2 linked regions of the Drosophila melanogaster genome follow. The protein of the gene in region 1 interacts with the protein of each later gene in a biochemical or structural test. Each region holds a gene or a part of one and is shown on either strand. Other genes may lie near its edges.

Evidence for each region.
Region 2: the proteins of cnn (region 1) and Plp form a complex in vitro, tested with the Drosophila melanogaster proteins (one study listed by BioGRID).

Annotation. Positions count from the first base shown.
Region 1 is NT_033778.4:13,447,216-13,452,428, forward strand, and holds the start of cnn (centrosomin), read right to left. Parts: upstream 3,261-5,213; 5' UTR 3,144-3,260; coding exon 2,959-3,143; intron 2,186-2,958; exon of another isoform or gene 1,782-2,185; intron 114-1,781; exon of another isoform or gene 18-113; coding exon of another isoform or gene 1-17. Other genes in the region: Golgin97 (golgin 97), read left to right, coding at 3,610-3,783, 3,875-4,660, 4,713-4,811, 5,107-5,213. UniProt on the Drosophila melanogaster protein: Core component of the centrosome throughout spermatogenesis. May participate in mitotic spindle assembly and the mechanics of morphogenesis through an interaction with microtubules, either directly or indirectly. Is a target of several homeotic genes.
Region 2 is NT_037436.4:15,086,889-15,092,122, reverse strand, and holds the start of Plp (Pericentrin-like protein), read left to right. Parts: upstream 1-1,929; 5' UTR 1,930-2,304; coding exon 2,305-2,331; intron 2,332-3,569; exon of another isoform or gene 3,570-3,797; coding exon of another isoform or gene 3,798-3,812; intron 3,813-5,234. Other genes in the region: sstn (stepping stone), read left to right, coding at 1-769.

The sequences.
Region 1 (5,213 bases):
CGAAAGATACCCGCCATATTCTATGTTTCATTTAACATTTGCGCTCTTATTAGCGTTTATTTATATTCTTTTCACTTTCCTTCAGTTCTCTTCTGTAGATATTTGCAGCGACTCTAATTTTGAGATTTAATTAGTTGCTTTTACACGGGGTGGACACGTCATTCCTGGCTGCTGCTGCGGCTGCTGTTGTTGTTGTTGTTCTTGGCTTTATTCCCTAAATACTTTCGCGGCGCACGCCAAACTTCGTTACGTATCCGCCATGTCGTCTTCGAAGGGACGGGCAGCCATGAGTCATGGGCTGCTGGGCGATGCGACGTGCGCAGCAGCAATCAGGAGCATTCAGCCGTAGAGCGGAAGAAGAGTCTTCAAAGAGTCTGGCGCTCCTACGGACGGGATGCATCCCCAACAGGACGGGGGGTTGGACGACGGCACATGTGGGCCACCGCATCGTTGAAGATACTAACCACCACATACACTGCACCACGCACCGCCTCTGGTCGTTATTTATTTTGGGAATTGAGCAAACAGCAAAACGGCGACCGCATTAGAAACAGCAATTTGTGAACGGGACAAGAAAATTCTGCCAAACATTTTCACTCATTGTTTTGTTTTGGCATTCGGCTATCGCTGGTTACTATGGTGGTAATGAAAATCAATGGTTTAAGCCGACAGCTGAGCGACCTGGTCACTGGGAACAACAGGTGTGCATTTTGAACCGTGCCGGAACATGTGTCTCTTCGTTTAGCACCTGAACTTTGCCGCGAATGCATTTTAGGGCCCTCACATCGACAGGTAAACTGCAGTTAACAGCCCATTCTCACCTCACCTGGAACGCAGACGCGACTCATCTACCTGGCTGCCTGGCGCGCCTCGAGTGGGTGTCAAACTATGGCCAACGACACACAAAGGCGCCTGCCTTAATCAACAAAGAAATACAATAACAATAAACAGAAGTGGATCGAGACTATAGCGAGTGATATGCGAGGAAAGCATCTTAAGACAATAACCATATGACGAAGGACGCACTGAATCTTGAAGGCTTTTGAACAGGATGTCAAATGTCACTCATATTCATAAATCGAATCAAAACATTCATAAAATATGCAAGATGTTTATTGTTCAAAATTAGAAAGGAAATTTCAATTGAATAAGAAATAAAATATAACATTACTCAATTAAATTATGACTAAAGTGTGTTTTTTTTTAATTCCTTATTTAAATTTAAATGAATGCGATAAAAACAAAACTAAATGAGCCATTTGCATGATAAATTCTACTTATGATCCCTCAAATTACATATCATACAAACGATACTGTACTTTACCAACCAGGATGCTTTGTTTTTCGAGGGTAGGGAAGTCAGCGTTGCAGTTTTGGAAGGGCAACAAAAGAGGTGCTCTGTTCGGTTTTTACCCCATAGGGGTTAATTCCACGAGTCCATGACCCCTGATGAATGCACATGTGTATATAACTAACTAACCCACACACACACACATGGAGCATACGACGAAACTGCAGTCTGATAAGACGACTTGTGACGAAATTCAGAGTTCCAGGAAGTGCGAAAACGCAGATAATGATATAGGTTGTTGCGGCTGTCGATTGAGCCATGGAATGCTCTATTTCACAAACAAATTAATTCGTATACTTTTTCTCCGACTAAAATTAGCCGCAGCATCGTGGCGACAAAAACGACAAACGAACAACAACAACAACAGCAGCAGCAGCAGCATCAGGGGGCACAAGCACAGATATCTTTAGTATTTCTAAGTATATATTACATTTATTGTAAATCCGAGCACACTTTGTACTTTATATATCTGTGTATTTCGATTTGGTTTTTTGTTTTTCATCCGAGAACCACCAGCATCCCACTAATCGCTTATCCACAGCAACGAATGCAATAAATTACAAATCAATCTATCACTTTTTGTATCTCGCAGTGCAATATAAACAATTGCACTTATGTACAGATATGTATGTACAATCAATCACTCACACACCCGCACAACGCTTGACCCGCTGATTGTTTCTATTTACATATATGTATGTATATATGGGTAAGTGAGTATATAGATATGTATGTATGTACATATGGCACGATTGATAGCCGAGAGGCAAGCAAAATAAACCGAAAAACGCTCTCTGCACGTCCAAATAAACCGAAAGCTAGAACATAACTGACTGAAACTGCGATGCGACCGATTCAGAGCGACCAAAGGCAGAGCAGCAAACGGGCGGAAAACTCGGGCTCATCTGCGAGGAAAAAGGAAAATGCGCTCAGCAGATGTTACGCATTTCCCAATGCCGTACACAGCGAGAAAGCGGTCAGCAAACTCAGTTCATTGGCTACGAATAGAATACAGAAATATCTGTTGTATACTTAAGGGATTACATTTGTGTTCCCAATTCTTTTTCTTTTAAATTTTCATTTTCATTAGGAATCAGAATAGTAATAGTAAATCTAAAGATTATAATAAAAAAATGTATTAAACTTTGACTCTATTCAGCATTTGAAAAAGTGATGAAGCATACAATCTTAAAAATAAAAGTACATCTTATAAGAGTACCTTACAAATCTTATTTCATTTAAAATCGTAAATTAATCCAAATCACTTAATGTTTTTAAAAAACATTTTAAAATAAATATTGATGGAAATTTAGCTTTAAAATTTTTTTCAGTGCAGATGTATTATTGTTCCTCTCTTCGAATTTTTTGGGGTGGGTAATACGCCCATTGTACGCCTGTGCTTGTGAGTATGCCTCCCCCTATGGGGCCGAGCAGTACGGATGCGGGAGAGCTCCAGCTGAGAGCGTTAGTTCCCGATCACAGTGGGCACGATCACCATGTCACATGGCGATCATCTGCTGCGCACTCGCAGTTGCCAGGGATTTCGATGGATTTGCCACACAAGTCTTATTGGTAAGCTATTGTTTATGCTAGTGTTTTGGACTTACTCGTCTATGCTTTTGGACAGTGCCTCGGCTAGTTTGCGCAGGACCCTTCTGTCGATTTCGGCGGCGCCATTCTCCTCCAGGAAACTGGTCACGGTCTCAATTAAGGTGATTTCCTTCAAGGACGATGCACAGGTACCATTGCCGTCGCCGCAATAGTCCCGCAAAACCTGTTTAGACTGGTCCATGGGAGGTCCTCAAATAGTTAACTTTCGCACACAATAATTCTAACACTTGACAATTTCACAAAGGACGCTAACAATTACACTTTTTTTCTGTTTGGAAAATGAAGCGCGCTGGAACAGCTGTTTCTGGCGTCAGTTATCGAAATGCTGCCATGCGCACTGGCAGCACTGCCGTACAACGGGAAAAAGTTAACACAGCGGTATGGCAACGCTGTTCGTCGATTTACGTTACTGCAAAGTCGATTCTTATCGATGGTAAACAACATCGACGGTTTACGAAAATTAGCATTCGCCTGATAAGCAAGTAGAACACTACGGCCACCAGATATAACGCCATGCTATAAACGCTCTGTGGGCACGTTTTCGTCAGCCCCAGCCACAAGCAGGCCAACTTCAGTCGGGGGCAGTACACATACAGAAAATAGAGCAGCGCAACAGAGAAAAAGCTCCCCCCTCGAAAAACCTAACAATGTTTGCTACACTGAAAAACAAGATCAAGGAGGAAACTGGCGATGATGTGGTCCAATCAGCCAATCAACGTTATCCCGGCAACAACAACAACAATTACCGGCTACGTAGTCGCCGCGTTAGCATTAATTCCAACTCAGCTGATGATGTGGGCGGTGGCGGATTCTACAATGAGGTAAACTGAGCGAAAAAAAAACAGTCTATTTGTGTATACTTACACATTAAACAAAAACACGGATAAACAAACACCTTCACTCTTTTCGCAGTCGGAGCAATTGTGCGAGCTGCGAAGTCAGTGCAACGAGCTCACCACGAAGCTGTCCACCGTCACGCAGGGATTGCAGCAGCTGCAGGAGGAGAAGACGCGCGTGGACAAGACCAACGAGATTCTGCTAGAGAGTGTGCGTGTGGCCCAGACGCAGAAGGACATATACTGCGAGGAGCAGGAGAAGATTCAGAATCTACAGCAAATCGAGATTGACAAGCTGAAGAATCTGCTTAGCTTTCGGGAGCAGGAGTCGGTGGATCGCATGGGTCTCATGCGCCAGCAGACCCAGCAAATCGAGTCCTTGAGCGAGGAACTAGAACGTCTGCGTCCCATTGAATCCGTGGCCGAAGATTTACGCGACGAACTAGAGCAACTGCGACATTCTACACAGCAGGAGAAGAATCTGCTGACCACAACACTGGCGGCTGTACAGGAGGAGAACCGGCACCTCAAAAAGCGCATGAAAATCGTCGAGGAGTCGCGACTCGAGTCTCTGGGCAAACTGAACTCCGAGCAACAAGTGCAAGCCCTTATCCGGGAACATAAACTGCTGGAACAGCACTTAGAGGAGGCCCATCTGCAGTTGTCGGACATCAAAGGCTCGTGGAGTGGCCAGAATCTGGCGCTGGAAACCCAAGTTAGTCGTCTATCCAAGCAAGTGGCCGAAGAGACCACCGAAAAGCGAAAGGCCCTTAAATCCCGCGACGATGCCATTGAAAGCCGCAAGCAGGTATCATTCGAACTCGAAAAAGCCAAAGATGAAATAAAGCAGCGGGACGATAAGGTAGGTTAGATAGTAATACCTATGTGCCAATACTTATGCACTTTAATTGCAGGTCAAGCTGCTGGAGGAGGAAATCGATGAACTTAGTGTGGCCCTGAAAGAGTGCCGAGAGGAGAACGAGCAGCAAGTCCTCTTTGAGCGCAATAAATCTGTGAGTATGCCTCCCGATTCTGACGATTTCCATTGGGACTTGTAACACTAATTTAACCAACAATGCAGTACTAACTCTACCAATTAAGCTCCTGGTTTACTTGGAATTTTCCAACCACACCTATTATGTAGTTTTTGATTGTAAATGTTTTCCTTTTCGTATTAAACTGATTTAATCGTTGGCAAACTTTTTGGTAAACTTTTTCCTTCAATAATGCACGCATATATATGTTTACCCTCAATATCCAAAACTGATTGATGGAGATTTTGTAAACCAATAAACCGAATGTTCTCAGCAAAATTTGGAAACAGAGGTAAAAGATCTCAAGACTCGTCTCACGGCAGCGGATGACAGGTTCAGCGAGTACTCCTCGAATGCCGAGCAGGTGGCCCAAAAGCTACG
Region 2 (5,234 bases), on another chromosome or scaffold:
CCGCTATCCGCCGCACGATGAGATCTCACTGTCATCCTCGTCCACGACCATTGAGAAGAAGCCCAAGCCCAAGCAGTGGCTGGAATCTTCGCTAGATGGGCCAGCTGTTATCAGGCAGATGGATTCACAGCCCCACAGTCCAGCTGGGAGTAGTAATGGGAGTAGTAATCCCGGCGCAGCTGCCATGGTTTCAAGTAAACCCCGCGCTAAGCTCTCCTCGCAGTCCATGTCGGTAGCGGGTCGTCACTATTCCATGTCCAACCAGCGACCGACTCCGAATTATCCCAGTGCCAGCTATGCGGTGAATACCAGTTCGAAAGCCCTGCTAAGTCAATCGACTTCGTATCTCAATGCAATGGAGCAAACTTTGGGGATATCGGTATCGTATCCGCTGGAACCTCTGGACATACCAGCACTGCGAAACTTACCACCCAAGCCAAGTCAAATGCAGCAGCCAACGCCGCCGCCCAGACCGCCACCCGCAAATCAGGCTCATACTCAGAACCAGAACCTAAGTCACAGTGGTAATGGCAGTTCAAGCGGACTTGCTCATGGGAATGCTGTCCAAACAGCGCTTGTGTCACCGCCAGTAACAGTGGCCACAGCCAGTTTATCGCCGGAAATTCGCATCGAGTCGCCCAAAAACATGACCGTAGTTCAGCAGGCCACTTTCCAGCCGTACAAGGAAGTGACGAAACCCTTCGAGATGTCCGATTTCTACAAATACTCCACCAAGTTTAAGCAAAAGGAGGGCGGAAATCCTAATTGACCTATAAGGTTGTACGGAATTCTCATGCACTTTCACCTTTTAATGTGATTAACTAAACTAATTTTGTAGCACTGAGAAACTACAAAGCAAAAGCAGCTCAAACTATTGGACTCCTTTCGAATTTTAAGTTCGTTAGCCAAATTATTTAGGATCAAGAAAATAACAATGCTCAAAAGATCTGCCAAATTGAAAACTGACGTATTGAAAGCAATTTATCGAACGACATTCAAATTTTGTATTGAATTTTTAAAGTACAAAAAACACAGGACAATATTATCCCCGAGGGGGACAGAAATCGCCTTACAACAGGATGCCTAGAAAATATGGAAATATTTTATATAGTTAACAGCATTTATAAACAAATAACTGACTAGCTAACTAATAAGTGTATAAAGGATATTTACCCTAATCGAATGATATTTTTATATGAATATACCGATTGGATACTGATATATTCACCGAGTTTTCTTAAGACTAACTACCGACAAGCAATAACAAATAGATAAAAATAAATATTTTATATTAAAATATATGCGAGTGCGTTTTTATTGATATTTAAGCATTCAAATATTTCGTTGAACTTCCAATATTTTTCTCAAAACATTATTAATGCTCTTGTAGCATTTCAGATTTTTTGAATAATTGAAATGAAAAGAAAGCTTTATATTTCCCTAGCCTATAAATAAATGTCTCATTTATACCCATAAATGTGTTCTCACTTCCTTAAATCATTCCTTATCGAATATATCTTGTAGTTCCTTAATCTCTGGTTAAAACTTATTTATAGAACAACCGATAAAACTTAATTACTTTCCTCCCCTTTATCTCTCGGATTTCTCTTTGTTTCTCTCGCGATCTGGTAGTAGTACATTGAATTCTCTCTTTTGGACTCTCCCCAACTCAATGCCACTGCAACAAATTTTGTTTACGATTGATTATTTTTAAACAATCTCTTGTTGTGCTTCACTGAGCATTACAGTATCTGGATGGGGAGAAAAAGAGCGTGGATATCCCCCGATACCCCAAAAATATAAAGACTCTTCGCAATGGATTTGGTTCTCAGTTGCATCGCGCTCGCTATTACGTGCAACTGTTTCAGATCGGTTGCACTATTGGTTTTTTTTTGTTTTTAAGTTTCAAATTTGTCGGTTCTTTCTCCCTCGAGGAGCATTGAAAATCACATAATGATAAATTAAGAGTTCACGCTTTAAGTAGCTAGTTTCCCCCATTGTGTTGTCTTCGTGTTAAACTTTAAATTAAAAAAATATCAAATTTTACGTAAAGTCTCCAACCTAACCTACAAAATTATTCGGTTCGTTGCATTCGTCTGTGTTTGTAAGCAAGTCAACCCGAAAAAATTCTAAAATATAGTGTCATCAAAACCACTACGTAAAAACATCAACAAGAAAATGGATCGCATTTGGGCCACATCTAGAATGCCTATAGATATAGCCAACTGACAGGCGCAAGTGTCAACAAAGGCGGCCAAAAAACAGGGAATAGGCCATAAATTATTTGGTTCAAGTGCAGTCACCATGAATCTGTACACTATATACGATTGGGTAAGCCAAACAATCAGGGGTATCCATTAAAGTATTAACCCATTTGGGAGCCGAACATCCATCATCTGTGCTCTCGGATTGTGCATAAAATCCACAAAATGTGGGTTGAATGCGCCTTGATATGTGTGTTTTCAATTCATTACGATCCACAAACAGAACATGTTGTTTTTCAAGTGTGTTTACAAATGAAATCGAAATTGAATGCGCCTTTGAACTTTCGATTAGAAGACCACAAGGCCCTTCCGAAATCTGTAAACAATCTACAGTGAAAAATACCCAACGGATTAGGAATTTTAAATAATATTTTATTTTTTAAATAAGTATTATATTTTATATCATTGAATAGCATACTTTTTATTATTATAGAGCAACTTTTTAAGTGAAAATTATAATTGAATTGTCCACATTATGCGGTTTTAATTGCTTTGTTAAATAACTAATACATTTATTAGTGAATCTTGGCTACTGTTTCCCTGTTTATTATAAACATCAATATTCATATTTTTGAAAAAATGTCTCGCTACAATAACCGATTCGCTTATCGATTTTGTTGAGGAAAGAATGTTTCTGCAACTTGTTGCTGAATAAATCTAATACATGTACCGCAATACGATGAAAATTTTTGGATAATGTATACGAAAATGATCAAAAATTTTTAATATTCATCGAAATGATTAATGGCTCGAATTTCTTATATTAAATTGTTATTGTATACAAATTTTAAAATAAAATTTGAACTTCAAGTTTTTAAACTTAACTTAAAATGTTTTATGATGATTATAGAATAATTATAAATTACTAACTATAAAAAATGAAATATAACAGTTTTTGAGGGACATTAATTCTGATTATAATACTAATTCTAAGTACTTATATATATAGCTACTTCAGTATCAATCGCAATCGCGAATCGTAAAACAATAGTTCTAAATGCTTTTAAAACTACTCTTTTGCATTTATCACCATCTTCCAAACAAATTTATGTTCCACACACACATTTTGTTTATAAATAAAAAATGGGAGCGAACATTCGGTGCACGGAACCGCTTGGAACCGCGTTGCAAATTTCCGCGGCACTCGCTCTCAATCGCTCGGCCTCTCCCGTGGCTGCTCTTTTCCAACGCTTTTCTTTTGATTTTCCTCGGATTGAGTGACTGATTTCAATTGAATGTCTCTTCGGGCGTTTTATTTATAAAAGAACCTGCACTGCAGGCGGTCGCGTCGTCGTTTTTCGGTTTTCCGCACATTTATAGCTCTATAAAGATAAGAGTGCAGTGTCAGTGCCTGTGATCCCATAAAATTGTTTAAAAAAATCTACGAAACATTTGCATATACGTAGAAGTTTGCACAATGTAACCCTCAATAGCCATTGTCGATATATGGACTTTTTAAGTGATTGTAAATTGCATTTAATTGAGATAACTTCTTCATCGCTGAATTGAATCGAATGAGTGGCGGGCAGCGAAATGGGGAAATTGCATGTGAGTTCAGTTATTGTCCGCAATGTGATCTTTAGCATCGCCCAGTGACATTTGCATCACTCGCCAGCCAAAGTGTGTTAATATCATTCGAAACCGCATGATAATGAACCAAATTAGTGGATTTTTTTTGCATTGCAGTGTACTTAGAGAAAATTATACAGTATTTACCATATTTTCTATAAATTTAGTTACGATACGATCTCATTCTTAATTGTTCTTGAATATTATTTATTAGAATTACTATTTGAAAGAATAATGCTGTAAAAGATTTGGTTTGTAAATCAAATAAAATGCGGGTATAGGATATAAAGCAATTCATCATCTACTTCACAATCATATAAATTGTGTGTTCATATGTAAATTTTTATATAAAATATGAAAATGTTAAATGCAAGCGTTTAAGAATTTATATTAAACTAAACCCTTTAAATGAAATAACCTTTCTTCATAGCAACGCAAAAGAAAATCCTTTCTCCAATCCGAATTTATTTTTGTCCAACATATTTCACTGTCAATTCTGCGCCAGGCAAAGCTATTAATTTAATCATTTTCGCCAATATGCGTGCCATTATTGAGGGTTTATCGACAATATCTTGTGGAAAATCAAAGGAAAGGCGTCAGCGCCATTAACAGAGACGTTGGGCTAGGTCCTTCGCCCCTTTTCCCGTTCCAAAGGGGAGTGGCATTGTTGTTATTAGTCGCCGAAGTGCAAAAACCTCAGACGATCCAACTGAAATGTGTGTCACACCCAAACAACGGCCCACAAAAGAGGTCCAAACTATAGCAACAAATTGAAATGTTTGCAAGGAATGTAAAAGACTTTCGTTTTCGTTTTTCACGCACACTCAAAGAAAATCCGTTGTCATGGTTATAGGTGCAAACTTGTTATCCCGATATCCTTATCGCTGTGCTGGTACTTCCTGAATGTGTTGTTGTTGTCTTTGTCCTGACAAGTTCAAGGACGTTCAAACCACCATGTGGCCGGGAATTGGATAACTTTTTCACAAGCATTTTCCGCTAATATTGTGAAAACTTTGTCAAGCGTTACGGCCTGACCCACATGGCGTATGTGTAATATGGAAAATATATTTTTCAGTCGTTCAAAATACAGTACGGACTTGAATTGTATGTAAATTACAATTTAAACTTAATATAAATGGGAAATAACTCTTTTTTTTTTAAAGCAAATATTGCAATAAATATATTTTAAATAAAATTTAAAAAGTTTGCATATATGTAAGCCGACATTTACTGTATGATCTACGATATAAGTTGGAAAAGGCTTATTATTCAAACGTTGAATGCATCGCCTTGGCACATCGCTATATATGCATGCGATCTAATTAGATTTCCATCTGTGAAAAATGTAATTGGAAAATGCTTAAATATTTCCTCACTCGATTGGGGAACGGATGCATGTGT